Linked DNA regions of Oryzias latipes. The protein of the gene in region 1 purifies or fractionates together with the protein of each later gene. This does not show direct contact. Links are inferred from orthologs where the notes say so. Each region holds a gene or a part of one and is shown in the gene's direction. Other genes may lie near its edges.

Region 1 (4,270 bases):
TTGAGTTCATTTTTTGAAGCATCTGAACTCAGAAGAATTGCTCCAAAGCCTCAAGAAAGTTATCATAATTGGTGGTGGAAGGCCTAAATGCAGAAGATTGACATGAGGAGGAAACGAAAAACATGAATTTGTGAATTTTGGCATGAATACAACAGCCTGCCATTAAAGCAACAACCATAAAATAAAATCATATATAGTCCAGACAAAAACTAAATGGTGCTTAAATACAGGACCTGACAAAACCAAATATAAAACCAGACCATTAATTAACCGCAAAACAAACAGCTGTGGCTGTTAATAACTTAAACTTTCTGGTGACTTTGAATTTTGGGAAAACACAAAACACAGGATAGAATAAAATAAGTTAGTTTCTGATGGTTTGAAGTTCAAATTCAAATGAAAATTTCCTTTATAAAATCATAACATTGTATTGATGCACTAACCTTTAAAATTCCAGCTTTTTTTTTGGCCTTTTTTTGATTAGTAGAAAGTGTATTCTTTTTAATTTTTAAGTGATAAAAAACGGATTCCATCTAATGTTTGACATCAAAATAGGTATTTGCACATTGCCAATCCATCACATCATTAGCATCTGGCTGCTATATGTATATCTACCAGTTTTTTTACACTCTGCAATTTAAGACACTTATGCAAAGCTTGTAAAATAAACTTTAGTGAAGTTTGCCCTTACTTTGACCCTAACCTTAACCATAAGTATTGCACACAAATGCACAAATACATATTAGCTGGATGATAACACTATTTTACAGAGGCCAATGCACTTGTGAGCTACAGTAAAATGTTACAGTATATTCACTTTATTTGGTTTCTTATCACACACATTAACTCTGGGTTATTTCCAAGAATTTTTGGATTTACAACTGAAGAGCGTTTTCCTTTCGATGACCCTAAAACACCTTTAAACTGATCTATGCTCATATTTTCATTGATTGCACACTTTAGACTTTTTTATATTCATTAGTAAACTAGCAATAGCACAGCTAAACTTCAGGCAATATTTTCTTTTAACATGTGCTTAATAACATTCTTAAGCAGACTGACATCAAGTCTGTTGTAACCTGGTGTGTCAAACATTAAAACCTGATAAACAATGAAATGTTTATGAGCAGAGTTCAGAAATATTCACGTTGCCTCCCTGATAAATGCCATTCCTCAGATAATTTATCTCACTCAAGCTCGGTTTATTTTTTGAACCCATGAAGATGTTTCTGTGAAATTCCACACCAGCTCCAGAACTCCATAGTCTTTCTCTCCATCTGTTTTTACCAGCTGTAAACACGTCTTTATCTTCTTCACCCTGAGATCCTGTTTGCTCTGCAGTTTTGCTCTTAAGTTAAGTTGGGAGGCTAAAAGCAACGCTTGTGTTTACCGTTTGACTTTTTGTGTGCTGCTTCACATGCAGCTGTGGTTTCGGTGGACAAAGAGCTCCAGTATGTGACGGGACTGCAGAGGCCATGGCTGAATGACACGACTTCTCCCTGCTTCCAGAATCATTCCCCAACAACTTACCGGAGACACTCAAAAGATATAAATACACATAATTGGCATTGTCCTCTCCGAGTCCCAGGGCAACAGGAGAGTTGACGCCCCGGCCCATCACATTTCATCCCTTACATCACACTTGTTAAAGCACAAGTGTGAAGAGGAGGCCGTTGGTTATATAAAGCGTGTGAGTGGATTGCTGCGGACTCCAAAATAGGCTTTTCCCCAAACCTCCTGCTTACTTACAGTTTTTGAGTTTCGTTTTGGTTGGTCTGATCTCGTCTTGCATTTTTCTGTCAGGTGGGAGCAAGAGCTTTTATTTTCAGTCTCCTTTTCTTGAGTTTTGAACCACATGGGTGATCAAAATAAAACACTATCCCGGCCCATATTCCGTCGAGATGTCCGCTGGGATCCTTTCCCAAACTGGACTCAGCCAAGCCGTATTTTTGCCCAGGACTTCGGCATTCCTCCTTTCCTGGAGCCCAATGATCTGGACTGGCTTGACTGGGCAAAAAAGAGACTGGCTTCTTTCTCCTGGCCGGGTTACACGCAAAGCCCCCTCCTGCCTCCCATCACGCCGGACCAGAAGAGTCTGAGACAACTGACTAGCGGTGTGTCTGAGGTGAGAACGGGGCAAAACAGCTGGAAGATCAACCTGGACGTCAATCATTTTTCACCCGAAGAGATCTCCATCAGCACAAAGGATGGCTACTTGCAAATATCAGGTACGTAGGCTTAATTTTTTTTCATTTTATACATAAAGATGTTTATTAATAATTACTGTTTTTTTTAAGGAACTCATGAAGAAAAGCAAGATGAACACAGTTTGGTTTCAAGATGTTTCACTCGTAAATACAAGTAAGGAGGCTGAGAAGCAAATTCGAGACACATTTAGGATGCGACCGTAACATATTTCTGTTTGTGACAAACGTTCTCTCATTTTTTTCGAGGTTACCACAAGGGGTGAATCTGCAGCACATCAGCTCATCCCTGTCCTCAGAAGGAATGTTGTCCGTAGAAGCTCCCGTCCCAGGAACATCCATCAGCAGCCCGGACAATGAGATCGTCATCCCCGTTCAGACCAAAAAGACACAGGACAGTGAGAAATGAACATAGTGAGCAGAAAGTAGCTCAAACTGTGCATAGCAGCAATTATTAAAATTACACAAAGCAGACTAGATTGCTTAAATTTAATGTTATCATTTGCTTTTTGGGAGATTTGAGACTTTTATAATCTAATTTAAACTTAATAAAAAGCAGAAATGGTATTGGATCCAATAAAACAAACCCTTGCTGTCCTTTTTAATTTTGTAATTTTGCACTAAAATTTTGTTTACTATAAACTGGTCTTTATCTTACTGTTCTTGTAGAATGATTGTATTATGCAATTTCAGCCTTCACAATGAAACAGAAATAAAATTTGGTAAAAATACATTTCTTTCACAGATTGTGGTTTTGTCACAATATTCATTCTTGCAGCTCAAACTTTTTTTTAACATGAAAACTTACACCTAAAAACAGGTCAGAGGTCACCAATTTTTTACAACCCATAATAACTAACAGTATATTGTAAGGATCAATATTTTAGGCAAGGACACGGAAAAAAGAATAGACAAAAAAAGTCTTTTTGTAGCTGTGCAGCAAAAATTTACTGTTACTAAATTTAAAACGGTGTGAAGTATGATATTGTTTGTACGAGGTTTCTGAAAATATTATATCATTACCTTGTAAAACAGTTTTAACTGCAAATTTAATAAAGATTTAAAGACTTAACTTAATTTTTTTACCTCTTAAAAACTCTACCTTAATTTGGGGGAAATGGAGACAGCACTCCAAAGTTATATAAAACAAAAATAAAACAAATCTAATATTAATAAAAAGACAAACTTAAAATTAAATTAGTTTTGCTCTTTCCCCCCCCTTTAAAGTTCTCTTTAAGTACAAAAGGTCAAAGTTCACTATTTATGCTGATCTTGATTTTAGCAAATTATCTATACAACACCATAAGGTCATTATCAGTTCCTAATAAATAATAAAAAAATAATAAAAAATATTCTACATTAACTATTTATTATTTTTTTACTATGAAAAGAAAAAGATCAGTGCAAGTGACGCAACAAACTAATCTAACCCTTGTGCTATCCTAGGCACTTTAACATTGGGAGATGGGTCATCTAGACCCACCAGACAGTGCGCTGAACCTTTTTTCTTCAATGATTTGTGATGGATTACATGAAATCTTTCCACCTTTACCCACTTTTGTTATGGTAGGAAGAACACGTCAATGTAAGGGTGGGGTCATCTAAGATAGCACAAGGGCTAATCAAGGAATAGCCAATCAAAAGCACAACGGTGACATCTACTGTTAAAAAAGGAGCATTACATGAAATTGAAAAACGTCAGGAGAATCATTTCATGTTTTGCACAGCTTGGAAGATCCTCCAGAAATGGATGCTTTGTTATAAGTATCTTGCATTTCTGCTTAACTTAATGTTGGCTTATCTCCTAAATGATCACAGCTCAATACATTGGGATAAGTCCAGTAGACAGCTTTAAACAAAGCATAGTCAGAAATAGTTGATTAAGCTTTTGGAGGTGTTTGTCATGCTGGCTCCAGCTGCTTTTTAAAGTAAATACAATTCGAAAATGCCAGTTTATTAGGTCTCAAGTACTAATTTCCTATTTTTCTAGAGTGGTTCATTTATAGATTTTTTACATAATGTAGTTCACTAATGAAGTTTCCCCTAAAGGTTTCAGACCAATCACG
Region 2 (5,361 bases), on another chromosome or scaffold:
ATCATACGGTTTCATTTTAATGGTGCTTAAAAAAACAAATTTTCTTGTCATATTTAATGGAATGTTGATATGTCACCTTGATAAATGTTGATACTCGTGATACATTATTTGGGCTAAAACATCCCAAAATGTAAATATTGTTTAATGTTTTCTACAAAAAAAAAAAAAAACACGTTGCAAAGAAGAGTTCATGGTTTTCACTGACATCAGAGGTGAGTATGGTTGACCCAATGTATACTCTTATAAAGTAAAACCACTAAATGATATGATTTTGAGTAGTAAAATGTAGTCCTTCACATAATAGCCTAAGTAAGGCAGATTAAGCCGACTGTGGGGTGCAGCTGTACTATCACAGGGGGGAAGGTTTGGGTGTACTGAGAGTTTTGGGGTGTCATATCCCTCCAAGCCCCAAAAAATGCCTTGAAAACCACGACAATTTATCAACATATACATTTCTTTTAATCTATTTGATGCGTCTTGGAAATCTTATTGAATGTTCAATGATCCTCCTGAAAACATACACTTTGCATTTACCGGGCTTTGGACAGGCACAAGCAGAGCTTGAGATACGTCGTAAGGCTGCATTTGTTGTCTATTTGTTGTCTGTCTGTCCCTCTATATTTTTTGGGCAGCCGCAGTGCACTGGAAGAGCTGTCGGCGGCTGATTGGACGATCACAGATTCAGTTCATGCCTTGCCCGCCCGGGTGTCCTTGGGCAAGACATGAACACCACATTGTTCCTGGTGGTTATAGGTTGGCGCCAGTGTTTGGCAGCAGAGCTGCCATCAGTGTGTGGACGGGTGAAAGGGGCTGTGACTGTGGGGTTAAACGTTTTTGAATAACTTCTTCCCTGGTCAACTTTTAGACATCAAGAATTCAAATATTTTGATGCGTATTTGAAAACTAAAATCAATTTTTACTTGGAAACAAACATTGAATTTATTGAAAAGACTCACTTGTTACACCCACATTCTGGTGGGAACAAATGAGGGTCTTCTGTCTTTTCTTTATTTTGTCAGATTTGACTAAAGAAGGAAAAATTACTTAAATTATGGAACATAACATACCCTATGAAGTGGTGTCAATCAAAGAATAAAGAAAATTCTGAGGAAGTCTATTTTCTGCCCCTCCCGTGGCCTTTTCTGTCCTGTTTTGTTGCTTTTTTTTATTCTTGACTTTCTTTATCTTCCCTTGATTCTGTTCTTTTTGTTCCTGTTTTGTCCTTTTTCTCTGCACAACAGTTTTGATGTTTAACTTACATTGTTTTTGTGTAAGGTGGTTTTCATATATCTATAGATAGACAGATAGATAGATAGATAGATAGATAGATAGATAGATAGACAGACAGACAGACAGACAGACAGACAGACAGACAGACAGACAGACAGACAGACAGACAGACAGACAGACAGACAGACAGACAGACAGACAGACAGATAGATAGATAGATAGATAGATAGATAGATAGATAGATAGATAGATAGATAGATAGATAGATAGATAGATAGATAGATAAAGGGTCTCTGCTCGCTAACTTCCTGTTAATGAATATTCCACTGATGCAGAGGAACAGGGAAACACGAAGCACTTTCACATGAGCAGTCTTATGCCATTTCAGTGATTTGGGTTTTCTTAGTTACAGTTAATTAATGATGGGCTTAAAATGTATCTTTATAATTGTTCAGCTTTGGGCCCCAGGCACCTTTGCCTTATGGTAAGTCCACCCCATTTGTTATTTTTTTTGTTTTTTTAGTTAATTGTTGATGTTTTTTTGTTTTGTTTTTATTTTTTATTTTTGTTAATCACATTTGTAAGGGGGGGCAGCAGGCATTTGGGGGTATTGCCCTCCTTGCACATGCCTGTATCCGCCCTTGGCATTAAGCTAAAAATGCATTCTATCTCCATGTTTGTGTTTCTCCCACTTCCCCTTAAAACAGCCATAAGTCAGGGAAAAGGGCAAATAGCCGGAGTGGAATTTCCTCTTTATTTCAGCTATTAGTTGAGTGTTTTGACTGGATACGTCATTAAAGCTGAGTTTTCCTGAACAATTCTTTATCCCAAACATGGAGCAGGAATGTCGTTTGACGTCTGCGGGTGTGGAACCGCATTTTCTTCTGCTACGCCCTCTCCAGCCAGCCTCTAGGCATTTACACGGGAAGAGAAAGGGAGAACGAGACGGGACGCCCTCCTCCTCCTCCTCCTCTTTTCTTCCTCCTCTTCCTCCTCCTCCAGTTTCTTGGCGGATAACGGTTTTCAAGAAGTTCTCCAGACAAAAGGCGCAGAGAGAGAGAGGCTGTCAGAGCTGCGTTCATGCAGCCTCTCCACGCTGTCCCTGCTGCGCTACACACAGGACAGAACCGCCGGCGGAGCGCAGATCATGGAGGATTTGGGTGAGTGATCCAGCTGTTTCTCCGTCCATCTTTTTCCAACTACACGTTTAGGAAATCTTGGAGGGATCTGCGGGGAGGACTGGAGCGCCCAACCAGAGGAAATCAGCTCTCTGTTGCTCCTGGCAGGCGCACAGCACAGCTCCTTTCCCCGCAATAACACGCAGGGCTTCAGGGTTTTATGCCATTTTCAGACAAAAGAGCAAGGAAAATTTGTCTCAAACTGCACTTTGGACTAATTACTGTGTGGAAAGTGTGTGTTTACCCCTAAAAGACACACAAGACGTGGACCTGTGCATTACTTTACATCTGTTTCTCCAGCACCGCCTGCAAATCTAATCACATCTTTGAAAATTAGATTGAAGGGAATCCATAATCCATTAATTATCAAGTCAGGGATGGACAGAACATAATGTATAACAGGGTGTCTTCCATTAAGGAGCATATTTTTCCCCTTCATAAAAGACTAAAATAAACTACTATTTGAGGGGGAAAAAACAGAAAAGCTTTTCCTGCTGCCCATTCCATCATGAAGTCCATCTTAGACGTCAGGCACTCAAGCAACATGGCAAAGATGCATATCTGGGCACATCTGGATCAGATCTCACCAAGAGGGGGACTGGCTGAGTGTTTGGGCCCACAGGCTGGGTTCCTGCTGTTGTTTGGCCATGTTGTAAGTTTATGTGGCTGCATCTGGCGAGGCCTAAAAATGAGTGGGACCTCTTGTCGGAGAAAAGCCCTCGGCCAAGACAAACAAGTCGGGAAGCAGTTCTAAATATGGTCATAATTTCCAAGTTCAACTCCTTATATGTGCCGTCTGTCCAAGTCTGCGTGTGTGGAAGAGAAACACACACTCAGCAGGCAGGAAGACGGAGGGAAATATATCTGCAGTATTTTCAACACGCTGTCGAAACAGACATGTGAATCATCTTTGGCAGAGATGACCACAATGCTGCTTACGTTCAGGTCTGTCACACCGAGTGAGTAATGTTCACAGAAAAGAGAGCGTCAGCGATGGCCAGAGACATTTCAGATGGTCAGCGTCACAGTTGGATGAAAGGAACTGGAGTCCGAGCAGATTGGATTGTTTGATAAACGAACTAACAGTGGAATAGAATTGTTGAGGAGGCATGTCCAAAGTTCGGGCCATGGACTACTTGTCCACAGGCTTCTGTCATAAAAAAAGTAAATATTTCTGGTCTCCAAATATGAAATTTACTGTAATTTGGGTAAATATATATGTAGAAATATTTCTGTTTTATGTGATGAAGTAAAATGTCTCAAAACATTTTAATTACATTGTTAATTTGCATGTCATGTTGTTATGAGAGTTCAAAGAATGCTGGCCCCCACACATGTTCACCTCTCCGAATCTGGCCCTCTTTGCAAAAAGAGGAAGAAAAGTTTTATTAGTTTCACTTTTGGAATAAAAAGTAATTGTCTGGGCTGCACGGTGGTTAGCACTCTCACAAGAATGCCCTAGTAGTACAAATCCAGGCTGGGACCTTTCTGTGTGAAGTTTGCATGTTCTCCTCCTGCATGTGTGGGTTTTCTCTGGGCGTTCCTCCCACGGCCCCAACACATGGTTGGAGGTGAATCGGTGCCTCTAAATTGTCCCTAAAGGTGTGCATGTAAATAACTTTTCCCCCAACAGTAGCTCAGTGGGCTCCAGCGACCCCGTGACCCTAAAAGGGTCTCAGTGGGTACTGAAGATGGATGGATGGAAGTTTATTAATCCCTTAAGCCATTTTTAGAATAAAGCTCAAAAAGTTCCTGTTACTTTTCCCCACATTACCTAAAATTACAAAGCAAGGAAAAAGAGTCCATTTGTTTTTGTTTTTTTATTTTGACCCTGTCATTGTCAAAAAACTATGAATTTAACCCCAAAATAACAACAAATCAAGATTCTGGTGCATTAATTTGTAATGCCATAAAGAATTTGACCAGAGAAAAACATTTAGTTAAACTTTTTTCTTTTGTCATGGAACAAGTCATGTTCAGTGGTCTTATTATTATAAATAATTATTCAAAGTGGTCTTTTCCCTTTTTGATCTTTTGGTAATTATTGAACAATTAAGCTTTTTTTTTTTAAATAAACCAGTCATTTACATATTAATTTCCCAAAAAATGTCTAAAGATGCTGCAAAATAAATGAAAATTCTAAAAAATAAATAAAAAAAGTGCCTCTGTGAGACCCCTAATGCACATGGCAGAATATAATAAATGTTTTCAAAATGATTACTATTTGATTACTACCCCGATTCATTTTTTCATTAATATTATTTTGGTTTCAAAATCATGTCGGCCAATCCTAATCACATTCGGAAGTTTATAGCTCAAAATACCTTTGCTCTAAGAAAGAAAATGGTTTGAAAGTGGTGCTATAGTTGCTGTAAGTGATCTACTTTGATCAGAATTTGTTGATCTTGTGACTAAAGGCTTTTGTCTGCAAAACCTTTTTCTGAGGTGAATAAGATATGCATCATTTCCTCTAGGAGTACTGGAAAACAAAAGAATAATCAATTATTTATTTAATATTTTAGAGATACTGCAGTCTGAAAAAAATAAAAATAAAAATCCAAACCATGATACAACCCTCACTGTGCTTTGAGGATGGGATCCTTTTTTATTTGGGAAAACACAGTGCTTCCTTTTTTGACTTATTTTTTATTTATTAATAAAAAAAAACCTAATGATTTATTTGCACCAGTGGGTTTCTACGTTCTTATCCTTGTGTTTTTCTGGTAGTGCAGTGTTACTGCAATAACGTTCGGTGCTCCAAACTGAAGGAATGTGATTGGGGAAGGCTGCTCTTGGACTTCACACCCTTTACTGAAGCTTACAGTTTAAAATTTAGCGCCCTGCTTTGCACGAATATGATGATGCCACGCTGCTGCAGGGACGTGTTTGGTTTCTGGAGTGAGTGTTTGTATGGGAGGGGGTGGTTTCCTGGCAGACGTTGGATATCAGGTGC
Region 3 (5,489 bases), on another chromosome or scaffold:
TGGGACGTATATCTGCTCAGTGTTCCTGCCGTACCTGCTGGCTCAGGTGGCCATGGAGCTGGAGGTCGTAGGTGAGAGGAAGGATCGAAAAGACATTCCTGATGGAAAAAAAAGATTCTGTTGATGGAGAACCATATGCGCTTTTTTGTTTCCATGTTTGTCTAGAACCTCCATCCCTCTCCATCCACCCGTCCCCCCTCCCCCTCGCCGTCCCGGGTCAGGTTTTGAACATCCAGTGTGAAGCCTCCGGCTTCGTCCCTCTCCCGGTAGACCTGAGCTGGGAGTTCAGAGGGGCAGATGGGAAGAGCCGGTCCCTGGGGTCGGGCAGCATGTCGGGTCACCGGCAGGCCTGGGACGGCACCTACAGCCAGAGCACCCGGCTGCAGCTGGACACGTCCAAGCTGGACCTGGGCAGAGGGGGGGAGATCAGCTGCGTCGCTGTTCACCGTGGCGGCACGCGGCGGGCCAGCGTGACCCTCAGTGTGATCGGTAACCTCACTTTTATCGTCACACGCTCTGAATTATTTGGATTCTAACATTTTTCAATAAAGAGCTGAACATATAACGTATGGAAATGTTGAATTATTTGAATGACGGGTTTGTGAGTTTACCTTCATAGCAAAAGTGTTGAAAAGTGTTTTTGGTTTTACCTGAAGGGTTCAGCTCGCCGTCCATCGAGGACTCCATGGCGATGGTGGGTGTGGCCTTGGTGCTCTACGGCCTCATTAAGTTTGCTTCATGGACTTTTACCAGCTCAGGTACCAAGACAACATCATTGTTCACTGAAATATTGAATATGTTTTAAATGTGCCGTCATATGGGAGTTTTTGGTGTAAATAGACATTCCTGACTTCTCCACTCGTTGTTTTCAGGATCTGATGAGGCTGCTAAACCCAACAAGGCAAGTTCACTCATTTATTTACGTAAATGTTAACAGTCTTTCACTCTTGTGAATAACATCTGTTATTTCTCTCACAACAGGATAAGTGATGACAAAGCAGACGTTTGTCACTAAATCATCAAGGTGTCTCATACTTCTGATGGGGTTTCATGTGCAGCTGTCCAGCTCTTTGGTGCCTTTGGTTGATTGGTTGCTGGTTTGGACCGTACCATTTTTACAGAAAATTATTTGACCACCCCTTTCTTTTAATGTTCTTATCTTGAAAGCATGACATCATAAAAACCGAAAGAACGCTTCAAGTTTCACTTTGGGGATTTCTAAACTGTGACTGGAGGCTGTGTTTTGTTTTGTTTTTTGAGAAATATGTTTCACTGAAGATGCAAAACAACTGTCCTAATTAATAAAGTAAAGCACGTTTGTAAATAGGAAGCCCAGAATATTTGTACATTGTATTACAATTAATGAATGTCTGTCTTTTTTTGTGTGTTTGTCAAAGTTCTGCTGAAATGTTGACAAAATTGTTGTAAAAATTCCAAAAATAAAAGGTTGTAAGAAGTCATTTTAATTGTGCTTTATCTGTCCATTTCTAAACGTTTATTATACTTGATGGCGTGGTTCTCCAAGTTAACTCTTCTTACATTTGGACATAATATGCATCATGATTAACCATGTTTTAACCAGCTCAGTGGCCTTGTGGTAGAGTGTCTGCCCTATGACTGGAACGTCGTAAATTCAAATCTAGGCCGAGTCATACCACAGACTCTAAAAATTGACACTCAGCATTAAGGGGGTGAATCCAATCCAGTTCCTGTGTACGGTTGTGTCTGCTGCTCACAGTCAAATGCAGAGAACAAATGTGTGACATGTAATGGTATTAACCAGGTTTAAAAATCACTTTATTATGCCCTACAAATGAGGAGTCTGAATGCAAGAAAATAATCTAGAATAGAGGAAATTTAAAGCTAAAACAACTGCAGCTTACGTAGGCAGCTAAATAATAGACATACTTTTATTACATCTTTTAGAAAAAACAGCTGCAACTTCCAGCTTTTTCTGCCACAATCATCACAAAAATGCATGTGAGATTGCGGAGGGACTGTACATCATGCAGACTATGAGTTGGATGCTGATGTGCCGCGGGATTTTTGTCAAGGATAAAGCGTGCTTTGGCTCTAAAAAGGTTGAAAAACACTGATCTAGAGCGCTCAGACACTCTGCAGTTCACTGTTTTTTCCACTAAATGTCTGTTTTGTTGGAGAGTGTACTCACAAATCGTAACGGAAGATCCGTAGAAGAAGACGTAGTGTTGTTGTCTTCCACTCTGGCCAATAGCAGACATTTTTACTGGATCTTTATTCTTTCCACCAATGAGAGGCCTTGGCATTGGTCTGAGTGTCGCGGGCACATTTTCGGTTTCTAGCAGTTCGTGGAGCTAAATTTACGAGATCTAAATTAGCCAAAAGACTTTGCTATCCTAAAAAACGCATCCATGAAGTATTAATAACTTTAATCTGTTAGTTAAATAACCAGGAAATCATGCCGTTTTTCCTATATTCCGTTTGGATTTACAAGAAAAGTTACAGTAGCTGCTCTGTTGCTAATCTTAGCTTAAAAACTGCTGTGCGTTCCTGAAGAGCAACATTTACGTTTCTATTGTTCCTGAATAAAAGGTGAGTGTTTTAATAATATGCACCCAGTCGTGTTTTCTCAGAATTATAAGCACCGTATCTGCCATGTTTTGTGATCAGTTTTTACAAAATTTCCTTTTGTTTTCACTTTAGATTAAGTTCTGTTGAATATTCGCCTTCATTTTTTTTCGTTGACCAGAAAACTACGAGAGAGACAGACTCAGGATGTAAAAGTAAACAGGAAAAAATTTTGGTAATTAAAGTTGATGTAAATCAGATAAGGCTACTAGACAGATTTTTTTTAATGTTGAATAATCAAAAGCAAAATAGACATCAGTGCTATTTGTCGTCGAGCCATTTCATTTTTGCATTCCGAGCATTTTCGTCTTAAAAATAAGTCTAATTTGTGTCGATCAGGCAACAGAAAAGTGCCATTTCTTTGTCTGCATCTCGGTATTTTCAGGTCAGCATTGCAGCCGTGTGGACGATTATTATTGCAGTGTTTTTATCTTTTTGGATCTTTAATAATCCTGTTTCACTGTGAGACGTTTTTGTCCACATTCTCACCAGATACCGTGTTGTGTATCTTTCTCTCTCAGCATCTCAGTACATCATGACCCATGCGTTGAGATTTTCATCTGTAAAATATATAACTAGCTTTGTGGCAATACAGTCCAATCCTTTAATGAATAAAATCTAGATTTTTATTATTCATTTGACATTTAGAACTATAAATTCAACAGCTTCCACGATTCAAACCTGCATTTAGGGCCTTCTAGACTGTTCTGTTCTTTATGGTTAAAACATCTCATATTCATTTATTCATACATTGTTAGAGGTGCTGGGAAAAAGGAGGGCTAGTTTTGTGCACACAACATCCCACTTATTTATTGTGGTTCAGTTAGTTTTCATTGATAGAAGCAGGCTTGTGATTGGACGTCTTGTGTTTTGGTCACTCGTGAAAAGGGCAAAAACAGTAGAGTCCACACCACGAAGAGAAACTGACAACGTTTACCAGAAACAACGTTTTTTTATTCCTGATGAATTTTATACCTTTTTACCAACATAATCATGTGTTCATATCTGTGGTTTTCATTGGACAGACAACTGTGCTTCCATTCAGGCTCTATGGGTTTGTTTATAAACATTTAAAATAAAATAAGCCAATTAGTAATAGATTTTTTTATATAAATTGATTTTTTTGGACCCCTGATAAATTATTAGTTGCTGGTTTTTGTAACAAGGACTAAACAGTAGGAAATAAGTTGTGAAAAATGTTTTTCACCACTGACCCCCCAATATTTACTAATATATGAATAGATTTTTGAAATCAATAATCCTTCCACGTCTTGCTTCTGTACCTTTTGTCACGACCAGCGTGTTTTTCCTGTTTGCAGATTCACAGCAGAATCCGTCAGGGTTTAGATGGCGGTGGCTCCTGCCTCAATGGGAGATGAGATCATAGTTCTGGATGAAGACAACGAGGACAGCCCCCAGCCCTCTTTTTCCGCTACTACTCCCTCCTCTGATCATGGCTCCAGAAACGCCTTACCGCCCAAAGGTCAGCACTTGGTGGCCGTGCACGCCGCCATGTCCCCAAGTCACCAAGTCTCAGGGAAGAAGGAAGCTCAGGGTCTTCTAGCTGAGAATCAGAAACTGTTCTCTGAGGTGAGCTGCTTCAGGTTTTTACTGAGCCCACCCTCTCTTCTGTGGTCTTCTTCAACTTCTAAAATAAAGAATATTTTAACACCCAGCAGGTTTTTGTTTGTGCTAATATTGCTGATATCTACTGTTTTTTTCCTTAATATTTTGTGATAAAATATGTTTTTATGTGCTTCGGAATAGATTGTTAGAAACATTTAAGATGTTAAATTGTTGAAAGCTTTTACAGTTCATCTGTTTGACTTTCTCTGTGAGTCACAATTGAATCTTTTTCTGTTTTGTAAAAGTCTTATAAAGGTGTAATATGAAAGGTGTAATGATCTGCATGATTCATCTTCAGTGTTTGATTCTCTCGTGTCTTTCCTGTAGTTTGTGGAGCATTGCTCCGCTCAGACCAAGGAGTGCCCGGAGGTCCTGGAATACCTGCAGCTGAAACACTCCAAGACGTGTCCAGAGTTTCTGTCCTCTGTGGAGTTCAGGAACACTCTGAAAGGATGTCTAACTCGCGCTCAGAACAACCGCTCCAAAACCTTTGTCTTCATCAATGAACTGTGCACGGTGCTCAAACAGCACAGGGATAAAAGGAGACTGACCCTCTCCAAGGCGGCGCCCTCTACCTCAACATCAGCTTCTGTTCAGTCTACCTCCGTTCCCCCTAACAGTGAGAAGAGGAGTGACGAAGAGCAACCTTCTACTTCTGGAGTGCAGGAAGACAACAAAGAGCAAGATCAAAAAGAGGAAAAAAGAGCTAAAAGGGCCTCAAGGAAACAGGTCGGTACAGACAATAAACCTAAAAAAAAAAAGACAGTCAGTGTTAATCCTGTACTTGTTTTATTCCTGAAATCAGACGATGCCAGACTAAATATCTGGAGCACATGTCTCCCTCTCAGATCGCGTACCTGGAGAATCTCCTAAAGGTTTACAACGATGAGATCTTCCGTCTGCAGCAAACTGAGCTTAGCCTGAATGACTTGGAAGCTGAAGACTCCATCTACATCCAGGAGCACAAGCTGAAGCGGAAGGTCTGATGCACATCTGATTGTGGAACAAAAGGTCAAACGGTGTTTGGTAACAGGCATTCATTTCTTTCCCAGTTGATGAAGATCTATGAAAAGCTGTGTGAACTGAAGGGCTGCAACACGTTAACGGGCCGAGCCATTGAGGAGAGGATCGAGTACAAAAGCACTCGATACCCTGAGATCAACAAGAGAGTGAGCTGACGGCTTTAAAGGTTTCCCTAAATATCTTGGAACATAACCTCCCAGTTCCTCGTTTATCTTTTCCTCCTTTGTTAGATC

What was found. The genes of interacting proteins can lie anywhere in the genome.
Region 2: the proteins of heat shock protein beta-1 (region 1) and tgfb1i1 purify together in Homo sapiens (affinity purification with western blotting; 3 studies listed by BioGRID). This does not show direct contact. The link is inferred for Oryzias latipes from reciprocal best matches to the Homo sapiens genes HSPB1 and TGFB1I1.
Region 3: the proteins of heat shock protein beta-1 (region 1) and death domain-associated protein 6 purify together in Homo sapiens (affinity purification with western blotting; 3 studies listed by BioGRID and IntAct, with this or other methods). This does not show direct contact. The link is inferred for Oryzias latipes from reciprocal best matches to the Homo sapiens genes HSPB1 and DAXX.

Annotation. Positions count from the first base shown.
Region 1 is NC_019870.2:13,681,354-13,685,623, reverse strand, and holds heat shock protein beta-1, read left to right. Parts: upstream 1-1,662; 5' UTR 1,663-1,855; coding exon 1,856-2,228; intron 2,229-2,297; coding exon 2,298-2,361; intron 2,362-2,453; coding exon 2,454-2,613; 3' UTR 2,614-2,937; downstream 2,938-4,270. UniProt on the Homo sapiens protein: Small heat shock protein which functions as a molecular chaperone probably maintaining denatured proteins in a folding-competent state. Plays a role in stress resistance and actin organization.
Region 2 is NC_019877.2:7,459,409-7,464,769, forward strand, and holds the start of tgfb1i1 (transforming growth factor beta-1-induced transcript 1 protein), read left to right. Parts: upstream 1-2,141; 5' UTR 2,142-2,377; coding exon 2,378-2,390; intron 2,391-5,361. UniProt on the Homo sapiens protein: Functions as a molecular adapter coordinating multiple protein-protein interactions at the focal adhesion complex and in the nucleus. Links various intracellular signaling modules to plasma membrane receptors and regulates the Wnt and TGFB signaling pathways.
Region 3 is NC_019869.2:16,000,271-16,005,759, forward strand, and holds the start of death domain-associated protein 6, read left to right. Parts: upstream 1-2,269; 5' UTR 2,270-2,571; intron 2,572-3,926; 5' UTR 3,927-3,954; coding exon 3,955-4,197; intron 4,198-4,560; coding exon 4,561-4,962; intron 4,963-5,081; coding exon 5,082-5,213; intron 5,214-5,285; coding exon 5,286-5,402; intron 5,403-5,486; coding exon 5,487-5,489. UniProt on the Homo sapiens protein: Transcription corepressor known to repress transcriptional potential of several sumoylated transcription factors. Down-regulates basal and activated transcription.